Linked DNA regions of Danio rerio. The protein of the gene in region 1 purifies or fractionates together with the protein of each later gene. This does not show direct contact. Links are inferred from orthologs where the notes say so. Each region holds a gene or a part of one and is shown on either strand. Other genes may lie near its edges.

Region 1 (7,790 bases):
AGATGGTGGTTTTACAATTCTTTGTGCAACATTTCAGTGATCATTTGGTTTTATAATAATTTTTTACATTTAATTATGAGCATTCGATGATTTATAAAATATCTGAATATCTTGCTGTCTGGGTCAATTTGAACCATATTTAATTATTTTCGTAAGCTCATAAATGTTAGTTTCACTTTTTTTGTGCAACATTTCAGTGATCATTTGGTTTCATAACCATTTTTATCTTGTGATTGTGAGCATGGATGATTTATAAAACCTACAGATTTATTTCTAACAAAACAACATGAACATAAATATTGCATTCAAAACATTTACTTTTAGATGAAAGTAAGTGAGATATGGGGGAAGGCCTAAATATATTTTTCTTTTTACACAGATTTAACTATAGATATGTTTACTGGAATTTTCCAATAATGATAATAATAATTTATAATAAATACATTTATACTTATAATACATAAAAGGTCAGTGTGTTCTGTATAATATTTAAATAAATGAATAAAATAGATAATGAGAAAATACTTGCTTTTTTACCATTTATGAGAAAACAGGTCATTATAACATCTATAAAATATCAGATCTTAAATATTGTAAACAAATGAATGAGCAAATACATTAAATAAATTATAAACAATTATTGTTATTACATTTTTATTCTAAACTGTGAAAGCACTACAAAAGATGTGCTCAGATTATTCTCAGACTGAAATACAATATGCAGAAAATGCATATGCAGATTATGTCTTAAAATAAATGAAATCACCTCGTCTGAGGACAGCCGATATCCGTAGCCTGTGTGTTTAATGTATGTGATGTAAGCTGAATGCAGGTCAGTAGTGCGGGGAGAGGGAGTCAATGCACTGACTGACCTCAGCACAAACATGCCTTTGTTATGTAACTCTCTCCTCTCCTCTACCCTGCCCCGCCCATTCTTCAGTGTGCTTTTTTGGTTTAGTCTTTGATTCTTTTATAAATGTTTTTGGCATACTAAATGAACATACAACCGCAATGCATTTCTAATATTTTTATGTATACAAGTCCATAAACATTCGCAAAGGCATATATATGCACGCATTGTTTTGTTTAAGCTTACCATACATGATCCCATAACAGTCTGGCACTCATTGAGGCATTGGATGTGATCCGATGCTGCCCTCTTGCGAAAAAAGGCAAGACACTGCAGGTGAAAAGGGTAAATAATTATTAATAGTTATCGCCATGCTTCCACAGCTGACTGAAAACATTAAGAATTGCAAAAATCATAAAGTTTGTATTACAAGTTTCTACAATGCTATATTTAAGTAGGCATGTATAATTAGTATTGATTATTCTGCATAAATTTCTAGCACAAAAACCTGAACACTGAATGATAATAGGTTCAAAATTTTTGATGCTTTTTTGGCATATTTAGAGTAAAAGGTTTTAACAGAAGGGAATTAAATCACTGCTTGATTCGGAAAATTCAGAATAAAAATCAACAAATTGGGTATAAACCTCTGTAAACATTTTATCTATATATGAATTTTATTACTTTCTATATTTATTAATATCGATAAGAACAAATCTGTATAAATCTGGAGTCCAAAAGTGATTAAAAATCATTCTGAGAAAAATTTGTATTGTAATTGAAATCTATGGAAACACTATAAACTTTTAAACGTGTTTTTTTTACGTTTAAATTTAAAAATTTCTCAAAATTGACAGGTACATCAAATGTATGCTTTTGCTTGCCATGACTGCTGGTAATGATTAAAAAAATGGGTAATTAAAGCTAGGTAAATCATAAAAAAAAGTTATTGTACCCACTATACTTTTTAAAAAGATAATTATGTTCATAATAATGCACAAAAACAGCAATAAACATATATATTTCAAGGCGTTTTACCAAATTCATGGTAAATGGTTTTTACCTTGTGAAAGAAATTTTGAGGATTCTTTTTTAAAATCACCACTTAATTCTAAAAAAATCACTTTTTGTAGAAGAAAATGGAGTATTTGTGATCAAACTAATTATGCATAAGCATGTGCCTCTGCAATCTTTTACCTTTATATTAATATTATTATTTTCTGTATGTATTAGCTTAGAAACTAATAAAACTGTAAAAACTTGCGTCCGTAAATGATGCTGAAGTGATTTTTGCATGACAAAAATATATTGAAATAAATATGCATTGTAATTGAAATCTATACAAACAATTTCTTTACAATACATTTTTTTAAATTCAAAACAACAAGTACATTGTCATTTAAATGACAAGTATATCACATGCATGTATTGCCATGTCTGATGGTAATAATAAAAAATAGTTATTATTAAAGCTTAAAAAAATGCATCAACAACAAAATGATTTAATGTATGCGTTGATTAACAGCAAATATATTATCAAAAACTAAAATTATAAAAGACAATTATGTCCATAACATGCACTGTTATTGCAATATGAAACGAAATTCATATTTAATACATACCCTGTTGCAAAGCTTGTCGTCACGTTCATTGTATGGAGAAAACATACAGTGAAAGTACATTGTGGTTCAAAACATCACTCTTCCCTGATAACTTTCCATTTTCAAGACAACTCAAAACTAAAGTATCATCTTCAGTACAGCGAAACACTGTAAACGAAAACAAAACAGTTATATCTAATATCTAAGCTACAACAACAGCAGTAGTTTACACTGTCAAATCTACACTTGTTTTCAACAAGTAAAAGGGTTAAATGAGGTTATTTATCTTCATAAACCGTCTGCGTCAACGGCTTACCCTATTGGCTGGTTTGGATGTCTGTCAAATGTATATCCTGTACAAAAGCGCAGATTGACGTGCGATGCTATTGGTCGATTCGTATAATCGCCCCGCCTGACGAGAGTTGATTCTTGCATTTAATTGGCTGAGAGTGCGCCGTTTAAATTTGAACCGTTTCAAACGGGGAAAGTTATAAATGCAACAACAACATCTCTATGCTGTGTGTCGAGCTGACTGTCTCTGCGAAGAAAACGGTTTTTATTAGATTTGAGCAGTTTGAATAAGGTACGTATTTTAGAAAACCGCCCCCGAGCCACGTTTATAGGATTGTAAGTTATTAATGCGCGATATGAAACCATAAAGGTAACTTAATCGCTTTGACTTTTTTGCTACGTGAGTGTTGCCAGAACGTCGAACATTCTGATGTAACGTTAACTTAATCCTGTTATTTTAAGATTGCGATAAGTGATTGTTAGCTATCCTTTATGTAACGTTAGAGATTTTTTTTCTGTTATAGTTAAATTTCTAAAGTTCGTATGGAAAGGGCATAAAAATGTAGAATTAACATTAAGTATGACGTTACGTGTAACTTATTGATTTTGAGCACTGTTGGAGATAACGTTAATTTATTTGCATTAAAAACTTTTTTTTAAATAAATAACAAATTCTATATTTATTTATTCATTCATGTATTCAATGTTGTTTTGTCATCCACGTGGGTATGTGAGCTGTTAGGCTAAATTCTGTCTTGCACTCAATTCTCTGGCTGTGCTAAACGTTATGTGGTTTATTTATATTTTTCCACTGAAGTGAGGGATTGATCTGATATCTCACTTTTGTTCAGGTTAAAATGTGATCATTTGATTTATGATAGTGAGCTGTTTATCACCTGTCCAGGTAAGCTGTAGGAGAGAGAAGCTGTCAGAAGTACCTGTCAAATACAAAGCTGACAATCATATTGTCAGGCCTACATAGTTGAGCAGAATCCAGGCAAGAACAGATAAGGCCAGAAGTGGTAATGATTTTGTTTTTTGATTTTGTTTGTCAATCTCTTCCTTGTTCCTACTTATTCTCACAAAAAAATCACAGTATCAGGGGATTGGCATAGTGTTTGATCATGATATATATATATATATATATATATATATATATATATATATATATATATATATATATATATATATATATATATATATATATATTTTTTTTTTTTTCTTTTCTTTTTTTTTTCACTAAAAAGAAGCACTTTGTTCCCTCAGCACAAGGCTAAATTGTCACTGGTTTGGGTTATTAGTCACAGTGGGTTAGTCTGAAAGGAGATGCAACAGATTTGAAGTGTCTCAGGACTAGGGTCTCTGGGTGTTGGGTCAGATGCCCGCCTCCGGGTCTTATCAGCAAAAGCAGCTGTTTATGGTGCCTGCTGGGCGTGACTTTCCAAAACCCATGTTGTCATTTTCTGTGTCTCTGTTTTACAGTATGAGTTCTGACGCGCTGAAGGAGAATCAGGGAGCTGTACGGATGAACAGCAATTCTGAATTCGCTTGTGACATTTTCATGTTGGATCAGCCGACTGGCAGACCCTCGATTTTGCGGCAGTCGCAGGCTGACAACATTAACAGGACTGCTCCTAGAGCAGCAAAGGTGGGCTTGACAAATTTCCATGCAGTATTTTTTCTGTACTGTATAATGTGTAATAAAATCACTGGTTATAAACCAAGTGTTTTCCATTTTAAAAAGTAACTTGTTCCTTTGACTGTAAATTTACCTTTTCTATAGACACTTTCTTTAGTGTCATATGAGCACATCTGAGTGACTTTTCAAGAAACAAAAACACTTATGAATGGCAGGTCGATTTTGTTGAAGCCATGCTACATTTTATTTTGGATTCTTTAATATTCACAAATGCAGTATTTATTTGTACTATTATAAATTTTATTTTGCATGTAATAATTGAACCCTTTCTTGGCCTTGTACTACAGCTTAGACTAACCTGCACGTTACTTAATTTCTCTTATATAGGTTTGTTTTCAAACCCCACGGCGAGATCCAGTGACAAAGAAGATCATGTCTCCAAGCCGCACCAGTAGGCCGATCAGCCAGGATGATCACAAAAATGCACTAGAGACTCTCACAGGCCTTTCTGACCAGTGAGTAAATTACCTGCATCTCCAATTGTTCAGGACTGTTGATGACCATTTGTGTATTTGGTGTACCTTTTATTTATATTAATTTCCACCAAAGGCACTTCTTCGAACAGACCCAGAGACTTCTGGTGTAAAATGATGGGTAAAACATAATGATCCTGTTTCCAAATAATATTAACATGGGTTTTCAAAAATTTTGTCTGAAAGCTGTAAACTTGCTTGGGATGTATTCACGGTGAAAGGACATATTTCTTTCAAATCTTTCACAATATAATGATTCAACTTTATAATTGAATCCACATATCATGTTTGACCTGTGGTGCATGCTCAAATAGGATTCCTATTTGACATTACTTTTTCTTCTTGACTATTGTTGATGCCCACATTGCAAAACAATATTTCAGTGCTAAAACAATATTTTGTCAACTTTAATGTACCACTCTAATAGTACAAGGTATTCATAAGAAAACTAGGTTAAAGATTAATTTTTAAAATATTTTTATGTAAGCCTCTTAACCTGTTTTTAATGGACAAATATGCTAACGTGTAAAACCTCCTTTTGTGTTTTTCAGGAGTTCATTGATGAATAACACTCACACCACACCAATTGACATAGAATGTAACAGTGTTGCTTTACCTGATGATGACATGCCTGTTCAGAGCAGAGGGGCCTATTCCTTTGATCTTGACAATATTGATGCCATCAACCCTTTCCAGGGCTCCAATAAAATGGCGAATTCCCCACCTAAATCTTCTGCTTTTACGGAGGCGGCAACATCAGAGCTTGTAGAGTCTAACACAACCATAGCCCCTGTTTCTGCACCCCAGGTAGAGGTAGAGACAGAGGCAGAAGTGACTGACAGTGCATTTGAAGAAGCTGTCCCATCAGTGGAGAATTCCCTTGCAGAATGCTCTGCCAACATCTCATCGACAGAGGGCAACGTAGCCCCTGTTCTTGCACCTCAGGCTGAAGTTCCAGAGGTGACTGAAAGTGCACTTGATGAGACTCTCCCATTTGTGCCATCAGTGGAGAATTCCCTTGCAGAATGCTCGGCCAACCTCTCTTCAGCAGAGGGCACAGTCATCCTCAAGACTGAGAATATTGAAAACAGCACCAATGAAACAGAGGAGACTGAGATCACTGACCCAGTGGCAGAGCCACAGCAGATTCCTGTTTTTGAGGGTCAACCCGAGGCACAGGACTTGCCACTACCTTCTGCAGGATCTTACAAGTTGGATTTTGACAACCTTGAAATGCTCAACCCATTCCAAACTGGTGGGTCAAAGATCCCCAACTCTCCTCCAACCAAAACATCAACAGTTTTTGACCCACCCCTGCTAAGCCACGAACCTGAACAAGAGCTATCAGTCCAGACAGATATCCCAACATCCTCCGATCCATCCATAACACCTCAGGAGAACTCCACTGCCACAGAGAGTTCCTCATCTACAACTGCCCCAAAGGAGAGCCAGATGCTATTAGAGTTTAATTTTGATGATGGAGCTGAAGTTAAACGCAAACCTCCTCCAAAACGCCTTGGGGTCAAAAGACCTGTTGGTGCAAAACCTGTGCCCAAAAAAACAGATGCACCAGTCACAGAGAAAAAAGATGCAGAACCCAAGCAGATGTCTCCTACAAGCCCAGAGGAGACCCAACCTGTGGATATTCCTTCTGCTAAAGGTTCTTACACTTTTGATTTTGAACAATTTGATAACCCAAACTTTAACCCCTTTGGCACAAAGGCTATGATGGGAAACTCACCACCACGTGGGGTCCAGACCAGTCCAGTTTTGAAGAAAGCACAATCTCCTGTTAAGCAACTTGAGACACTTCCTGCGCAGGATGACCAACCTGAGCAACGGTACGTACACCGCATACACAAAACGCTGAACATTTCTTATCTGCACAAGCTAATAATGGCCTGATTCTACTAAATAGCATGGTTTTGAAAGTACGGTTTCATATTTAACTGTAATTCCACCGTCAAAAGTATTAAAGCAGTAAACAATACCATGTTACTTTTTTGGCACTCTTTCCTAGTACCTAGTGCAACAGTACGGTACCGAATGGATTTACAGATGATTATAATATCGAAAATTTAAAAACAAAAAAATACAGCTGAGACGCATGACACCATATTAATATGATACTAGATTGTTTTGATCTTGTTGCAATTAAATTCCAAGAAGCAAAGACCAAATCTGCTGCCTCTATTGTTTGAGTCTGTCCAAAAGGGTGCTGTTTTCTTTGCATGCACGTCTATATTTGAAATTAATTTGAGTTTGCCAAAAGTGCAACAACGACCTGAAAGGCTTTCTTTTTTGGTATTTTGATGGTTGAAATGCAAGCTTGGTCAAGGTGACTCCTACTGAAGAGTACCAGTCCATTCTGCTAAGTGTAAATGAGGCCTAAAGCTCCATATCAGATTCTATTGCTCAAAAGCAGTGTATGTTGCTAGCTACCTCATTTTATTCTAAGGGGATGCATGAACTTATTAATTGCACCCTGAATGCTTTCAAATTCTATTTGTATAAACGCATTTAGCAAATAAGAACGAGCTCCATTGATTTGTATTTTGTCCCCCCTCCAGATCTCCCCAGGTAGTTTCTGAAAGCAAGGAAAATATGGTAGAAGCGAATCTTCCTGAGACTAAAGAGGTAAATATTTTTTAAATGCAACAATTCAAAGTCTTTTTCATCAAAGATTGACATTGTTCAACACTCATTCTTTTACAAGCTGGCAGAAGATGTTGAGTCATCAATGGCTGTATCTCACACTGACAAACCCCAGAATCCAGCGGTGCCGGAACGAGATTTCATGGCAGTACCAGAATCTATTGCAGATATTCAAAATCAGACCTGTGATCTTGGTGTGGCAGCATCAAATGAAGATGAAT
Region 2 (7,262 bases), on another chromosome or scaffold:
AAATGTTAATGTATGCGGTTTTTATATTAAAACAAGGTCAATATTATAAGCCCCTTTGAGCTATGTATTTTAAATTGTCCACAGAACAAACCACCGTTATACAATAGCTTGCCTAATTACTTTAACCTGCCTAGTTAATCTAGTTAAGCCTTAAATTGCACTTTAAGCTGAAGACTAGTATCTTGAACAATATCTGGTAAAATATTATTTACTGTCATCATGGCAAAGATAAAATAAATCAGTTATTAAAAATGAGTCATTAAAACTATTATGTTTAGAATTGTGTTGAAAAAATCTTCTCTCCGTTAAGCAGAAATATAGGGAAAATTATACAGGGGTAATAATAATTCAGGACGTCTAATAATTCAGACTTCAACTGTATATGCTGGTATTTTTTTGTGTATTTTGACTTTAAATGTTGTTTTTTCTTGCAGATTGGAACAACAGAGGCTGGAGCAGCAAGAGAGAGAGAGACTAGAAAGAGAGAGACAAGAGAGAGAACGGCAGGAAAGGGAAAGACAAGAGAGAGAAAGACAAGAGAGAGAACGACAAGAGAGAGAACGGCCAGTAGCTTCAGGTCAGCAGAAACTCTTTTACCTCAGTGGACATGAGTTTGCACTTATTTCTGAGTAAAAACCAGCAAAGGTGTTTTTTTTAATGGTATGGGGGGGGGGGGTGTATATAAGGGGTATATAAATATAAATGGGGAAAAGACAAGATATCCCTTTTTGGTTTCTGCATCATATTAAATTTTCAAAAGTGAGTTTATATGAAAAGAAAAGTTTAAAGTGTCTTCTTCAATGTTTAAAAATTTTCTCTGAAAGTAAAAATAAAATAGGTAACTGTAATATCTACACAGTATGAATCATTTGTTAAGCTTTAGCTAATAGTGAATTTATTATCTGTTAAGCATTAACTCTACATTAATAAACCTTAATAAGCAATTTATAAATACAAATGCTGTATTCTTGAATTATAAGCACATGTATAATAAGCTTAATGATTGTGTTTTCATACTTTGTTATCTTATTAATTGTTCATTTCTATATTAAGTATTGCAATATTTACAAACCATTTGTATTTAAGAGCAGTTGGTGTTTTTTAGGATTAGTTAGTAAATGATTAATAAACTATCCAAGTCAACATTCATATAAGTTATTATTCAGGCTTATAGTAATGGTTACTGTGTATGTTTAAGAGCCATGAACCTACCCCCGATTCGAAAAGTGAGTCAGTCCATGATTGTTTTGGTGATAGGGTTGAGTGGCAAAAAAAGGAATGGTTTGCATTATAAGGGGAGTTTCAGTTTGAGCACATGCTGATTTTTAGAGGCAAATCAACACAGGGAGAAAAAGAACAGGGGAGAAAGACAGTGACTGTGTTTACATGGACATCAGTAATCAATTTATTTGCCAAATTATTAATTTTTGTGACCTAATCTAAAGTAAGGACTATTTAAGCTTTGTAAGTCCGTTATGAATGACAATTAAAGGCTTAGTATTAATACAATACATGTGTGCAATCTTATCTAAAAATAAAATTACTGTAAAGTTTAAACATTGCTGAATAACAAGAGTGTTACAATACAATTAGAAATAAATACAAATAAATAAAATTGGATAAAATAACAACAATATAATATTTTAACAATTATTATTATGCAACATTTCAATGTTATTTAGCGAAGTTTAAACTGTACAGTAGTTTTATTTTAGATAAGCTTGCAAAGATTTATTTTTCATTTGATTCAGTTTCGTTTGTGTGTCTTCAAAGGAATAAAAATGAATAAAGTCGTTTATTTTCTTTTTCCTGTTTAGAATAGAACTGAGCCTTTAATTGTAATTTATAAGGGATTTACAAAGCATAATTAGTCTTCACTTTAGATTAGGTTATAATAACTGGATGAAGTTGAGTTAATAAAGCATTTATTAGCATACTAATGAACTATTATATGCCTGAATAATAAGATATATGAATGTTAATTTGAATAGTTTATTAATCATTTACTTACACATTATGAATGATCTTAAAATATCAACTATTATTAAATATGTAGTTTGTAAATAATACAATACTTAATAATACAAATAATCATTAACAAAGTATAAAAATACAATCATTCAGCTCAGTGCACATGTGTTTATAAGTCAGAAATACAGCTTTTTTATCTGCAGTTATAAACTGCTTCCTAACGTCTACTGTAGAGTTAATGCTTAACGAATTATGAATTAACATTTTGCTAATGCTTAACAAATGATTCATAGTGTGTAGTTAGTATAAAGAGTTACTAAAAAAATCAAACTGTGAATTTTACCATTTGCTCTTTAAAATGAACACAACTCAAATAACTAGTTCTAAAAATCTATTTGTTTTATAGGCTTATTTTGTTTAAATATGATACTGTTAATAATTGTGGTTAATCATAATGTGTATACACTTAAGAATATGTTAATATTATATTTGCCCATAGCTTGAGATTCACAGATGTTCTCTTTTATTGATGCCTACATACTGCATTATGTGACCTTGATATCTGCTTCAAACACTCAGCTCATTACCCGCACCATAATTATGTAACCAAACCAGACAGTTTTTTTTTCAGACTGCTAAAAATAGCAGTAAAAGTCACTTTGTTCAACTTTTTGAAGATCACGCTCCCATGATGCAATCTGAAAATGTAAATGAATGGAAAACATCCATGAATCACTGTTAATTAAATAGACAGTTAACCCAAAAATAAATAAAAAAAATCCATCATTCGCTCATCCTTCGCTTATTCAAAATCTATTTGAGTTTCTTTCTTCTGTTGATCACAAAAGAAGATATTTAGAAAAATCCTGGTTTCTTAAACCAGGGGTTCCCAAACTTTTCAGCCTGCAACCCCCAAAATAAAAATGCCAGTGACTTGAAACCCCCAATATCCTCTGAGGTGGTTATAAATACAGAAACCTTGCATGCAATGGTGCGCACACACCAATAGGCCCAAGTGTATTCTTAATTTTTTTTCTGTATGTGAGTGCTGTAAATGTGTCAAAGTTTAATCTGGTGCCCTAAAATCAGTCTGCTGCATCTGATGCTATTGCTGTGTCTTTAATATAACCTAATCACTGCAGGGGTCGCAATCCAATAGAACTATAAGCTACTGCAGTAAGTAAATGGTATATAGTAACTGTAAACTTCTATTTTTGTCTTCAGTAGGATATGGGTAAAATATGGTAATTCTAATAGTTTAATAAAATGAATTAGGTTTTTGGAAATCACCAAGCGACCCCATCCCCTCTTTCATTGTTCCGACCCCCACTTTGGGAACCACTGGCTTAAGCCTGATTTATACTTTCGTCTGGCACCGTGTCACGGACCTCCACTGACTGCGGGCTCACCTCACGAAATGGACAAGGTTTTTATACTTGACGTGTTAGCCAAACAGGGCATCAGTTTATTGTAAACCGAAAGGTTCAAATATTCCTTTCCTGTTATCAAAGTAATAATTTGTTCCTTAATAATAGTTTTGTAACTAATAAATTGTTTTAAATTCAAAATTGTAATATACATCAGTGTTAAACCCTTCAATGGTGGGAAAAATACATTCTTTAATTGTGTACATGGGTCTCCGCATCCTCTTTTGGCTTTAACAAACTTATCCCATGGGTTTTTCCAAAATTTTTAACAAAAACTTTTTTTCCTCTCACACAGCTGCTGCAATTTCTAGCCAATAATTATCGGTCATCTAGTTCTCCCTATGATCAGGCAGTCGTACAGTACCCGCTTCAGACAAAATCTCTTCAAAGTGTTTCATACTCAACTCAAATCAAACGCAGAGCCGCGCACACTGTTCGCTCGAGTCTCAAAAAAAATCATGCGCTCAGCCAGCCGAAATCATGTGGCGCACACCCAAAATGAACCTCCGCAAACACATCGATGAGGTCACATTTGCCGCGCACACTCAAGCGAACTAGCCAATGCGTTGAGTATAAACCAGACTATAAACCCATTGACTTCTATAATAACTCTGTTTCCCATTATGGAAGTCGTTGGGCTAGCAGCATTCTTCAGAATATCTTCGTTTGTGATCAACAGAAGAGAAAACTCATGAAGGTTTAAGGGGGAATAAATTATGAGGTAATTTTTCATTTTTAACTAGTATATTTTTATACTGATGTTAAATCGTACTAAATGTTTACTATTTTAGAATTATTTTTTTAGCTTTGCCATTAAACTGAATAGGGGGTCAAATGTTTTGGGTATCCTTTCACAAGCTTCTCACAATAGTTTGCTGGAATTTTGGCCCTTTCCTCCTGACAGAATTGGTGAAACTGAGTCAGATTTGTTGGCTGTCTTGCTCACACATGCTTTTTCAACTCTGCCCACACATTTTGAGATCAGGGCTTCGTGATGGCCTCTCCAAAACTTTCACTGTTGTTCTTAAAGCATGTTTTAACTAATTTGGCAGTATGCTTAGGGTCATGGTTATAGTGTTCTTTCTTCATGATGTTACGTGTTCAAGATGTTAAATAATTAAATGGATGAAACGTAACAATCAGTGAGTCGATTGATGCTGGGAATAAATTATGAGGTAATTTTTCATTTTTAACTAGTATATTTTCCTATTGTACATTTTACTGTGCTTTTTTGGGATGAGTAGTTTTCCCTAAGCAAAGAAATTCAAGTACATAATCTTTTTGTCTTTTTAAATACCTTTTTGTCCTAATTGTATTAATTTCATCTGGTTGGTTTGGTTATTATTTGAAACACTGTAGCTCAGTGAACGTTTTCTGTTTTTCTTTTTCTGTAGTTGTGATTCCTCCAGCGCCGCCTTTGGCCCCTGGAGGCCCTCCAGCTCCCCCGGGACCCCCACCTCCCCCTGGACCCCCTCCATCTGGACCTCCTCCACCACCTGGGCCTCCGCCTTCAGGAGGAGGAGCTCCACCGCCTCCTGCTCCACCACTGCCCTCTTCTGGAGGAAGTGATGGGGGTGGAGGACCTGGTGGTGGTGGTGGTCTCGCTGCTGCTCTGGCAGCTGCCAAACTTCGCAAAGTGCCCAAGGTGAGATTATTCACAAAAAGAGGATAGTTGCATCCCAAATGACACTTTATGCACTTATAGACTCAGCCATGTAGTGTATGAGTATCTATTGCCATTAAACTGAATAGGGGGTCAAATATTTTGGGTATCCTTTCACAAGCTTCTCACAATAGTTTGCTGGAATTTTGGCCCTTTCCTCCTGACAGAATTGGTGAAACTGAGTCAGATTTGTTGGCTGTCTTGCTCACACATGCTTTTTCAACTCTGCCCACACATTTTCTATAGGATTGAGATCAGGGCTTCGTGATGGCCTCTCCAAAACTTTCACTGTTGTTCTTAAAGCATATTTTAACTATTTTGGCAGTATGCTTAGGGTCATGGTTATAGTGTTCTTTCTTCATGATGTTACGTGTTTAAGATGTTAAATAATTAAATGGATAAAACGTAACAATCAGTGAGTCGATTGATGCTGGATAAATGAGGAGAAGACACAGACGCTTGATAAGTGAAACAAAAAGTAAGTATTTATTAATGGATAATGTCAAACAATGAATATGAAATGTTAGGTAAATGTAATTTATAAATAAATAAAGAAAATAAATAAAGAAAACAGGAGTGTTGCCAAAACAAAGAAATAAATATAACAGAATGATCTAACTAAACCCCAACCCACTAAACTGATTGATCAAAGAAAAATGCAGAAACAAAACCGTAATCTTCAGCACGTAGCTTAACTAAACTTCATAACTTCAAAACATAATTACACATGTGGCAACGCCTCCATAAACTAACTAATATAGAATTATACTAAGCTGCTCGCATTACTAGAATTCTCGCAAAGTACACACTGTTAGCCATTAGCAAAACAAGATCTCAGGTAATCCAATTCTCATAAAGATCATTCAAATTCTCACTAGACAATAAACTGAGCAGCACAAGTTTATCTAATAATCAATCTGTCACTAAAGAGAAAACTAGAACACAGCAAACGAAATCAAACTAAGCGAAACAAACAAGCGAACAGTCCGGTCGACACAAGTGAGGAGACTGGCAGTAAGCCAAGCGCTCCTCCAGAACAGCGCAAGCGCAGGGCTTTTATACTGCGCGGACCCAATCCTTATTGGCGCCGATTGAGTGACGAAGGTAATTGACAGCTCACTCTCGACCAATGGTAGCACACCTGAAACAGGATAGGACCACAACAAGAGAGAGTTAGAGATCAGAGCGCAAAACAGAAAAACAACAAAATACCACAAAACATACGTGAAACGTAACAATGATGCCATCTATTCTGTGAAGTGCACTAGTCCCTCCTGCAGAAAAAACAGCCCCACAACATGATGCTGTCACCCCCATACTTCACAGTTCTGATGTAAGCTTCACTCTTTGTCCTCCAAATGTAACTCTGGTCATTATAGCCAACCAGTTCAATATTAATTCAATCAGACCACAGAACGTGTCTCCAAAAATCAAAGTCTTTTTTCTAGTGTGATTTTGCAAATTGTAATCTGGCTTTTGTATGATGCTTTTGGAGTAATGGCTTTTTCCTTGCTGAGTGGCCTTTCAGCTCATATTGGTATTGACTCGTTTCACTGTGTATAATATAACTCTCTTACCAGCTTCAGCCAGCATTTCACAACATCTTTTGCGTTTGTTCTGGGGTTAATACACATAGTTTGCACCATAGCGCGTTCATCTCTGGGACACAGAATCCTTCTCCTTCCTGAGCGGTATGATGGCTGGACATTCCCATATACTTGAGTAAAATTGTTTGAATGTGGTACCTTCAGGCATCTATAAATTGTACCCAAAGAACAACCAGATTTTTGGAGGTCCGATTCTCATCCTGATGTCTTGGCTGATTTTTTTGATTTTCCCCTGTTGTGACGCAAGGAAGCAGTGTGTTTGAGGTTTTCCTAAATACTAATCTACAGTTGTGCCTCCAATTAACTGAAATGTTGTCAATAAGCCAATCAGAAACTTTCAAAACCTTAACATCACCATCTGGGCTTGTTCAGGGGCATAATAATCTTATGTAAAACTTTGACTTTCAAGAAAATTACTCAAAAAAAATTCTCAAAAACTTTCTCTGATTGTTCTGCCATTAAGCAAGTAGAAACAATTTTAGTGATCCTAACTTACCTAAAAGAGAAAAAGTTTAGTCACATTTAACATCTGACATTTTATTTTTTAATTCTTATGTGCGTTTTTATATAGTGTATGTAAACTTTTGGTTTTAA

The links. Proteins that work in one complex are often made in the same cells at the same time.
Region 2: the proteins of tacc3 (region 1) and vaspb purify together in Homo sapiens (co-immunoprecipitation; 3 studies listed by BioGRID and IntAct, with this or other methods). This does not show direct contact. The link is inferred for Danio rerio from reciprocal best matches to the Homo sapiens genes TACC3 and VASP.

Annotation. Positions count from the first base shown.
Region 1 is NC_133188.1:39,349,296-39,357,085, reverse strand, and holds the start of tacc3 (transforming acidic coiled-coil-containing protein 3), read left to right. Parts: upstream 1-2,917; 5' UTR 2,918-3,034; intron 3,035-3,646; exon of another isoform or gene 3,647-3,764; intron 3,765-4,224; 5' UTR 4,225-4,225; coding exon 4,226-4,390; intron 4,391-4,768; coding exon 4,769-4,896; intron 4,897-5,465; coding exon 5,466-6,755; intron 6,756-7,484; coding exon 7,485-7,551; intron 7,552-7,630; coding exon 7,631-7,790. Other genes in the region: mfsd2aa (sodium-dependent lysophosphatidylcholine symporter 1-A), read right to left, coding at 1,097-1,180, 2,473-2,532. UniProt on the Homo sapiens protein: Plays a role in the microtubule-dependent coupling of the nucleus and the centrosome. Involved in the processes that regulate centrosome-mediated interkinetic nuclear migration (INM) of neural progenitors.
Region 2 is NC_133193.1:43,704,365-43,711,626, reverse strand, and holds part of vaspb (vasodilator-stimulated phosphoprotein), read left to right. Parts: intron 1-434; coding exon 435-577; intron 578-4,792; coding exon 4,793-5,043; intron 5,044-7,262. UniProt on the Homo sapiens protein: Ena/VASP proteins are actin-associated proteins involved in a range of processes dependent on cytoskeleton remodeling and cell polarity such as axon guidance, lamellipodial and filopodial dynamics, platelet activation and cell migration.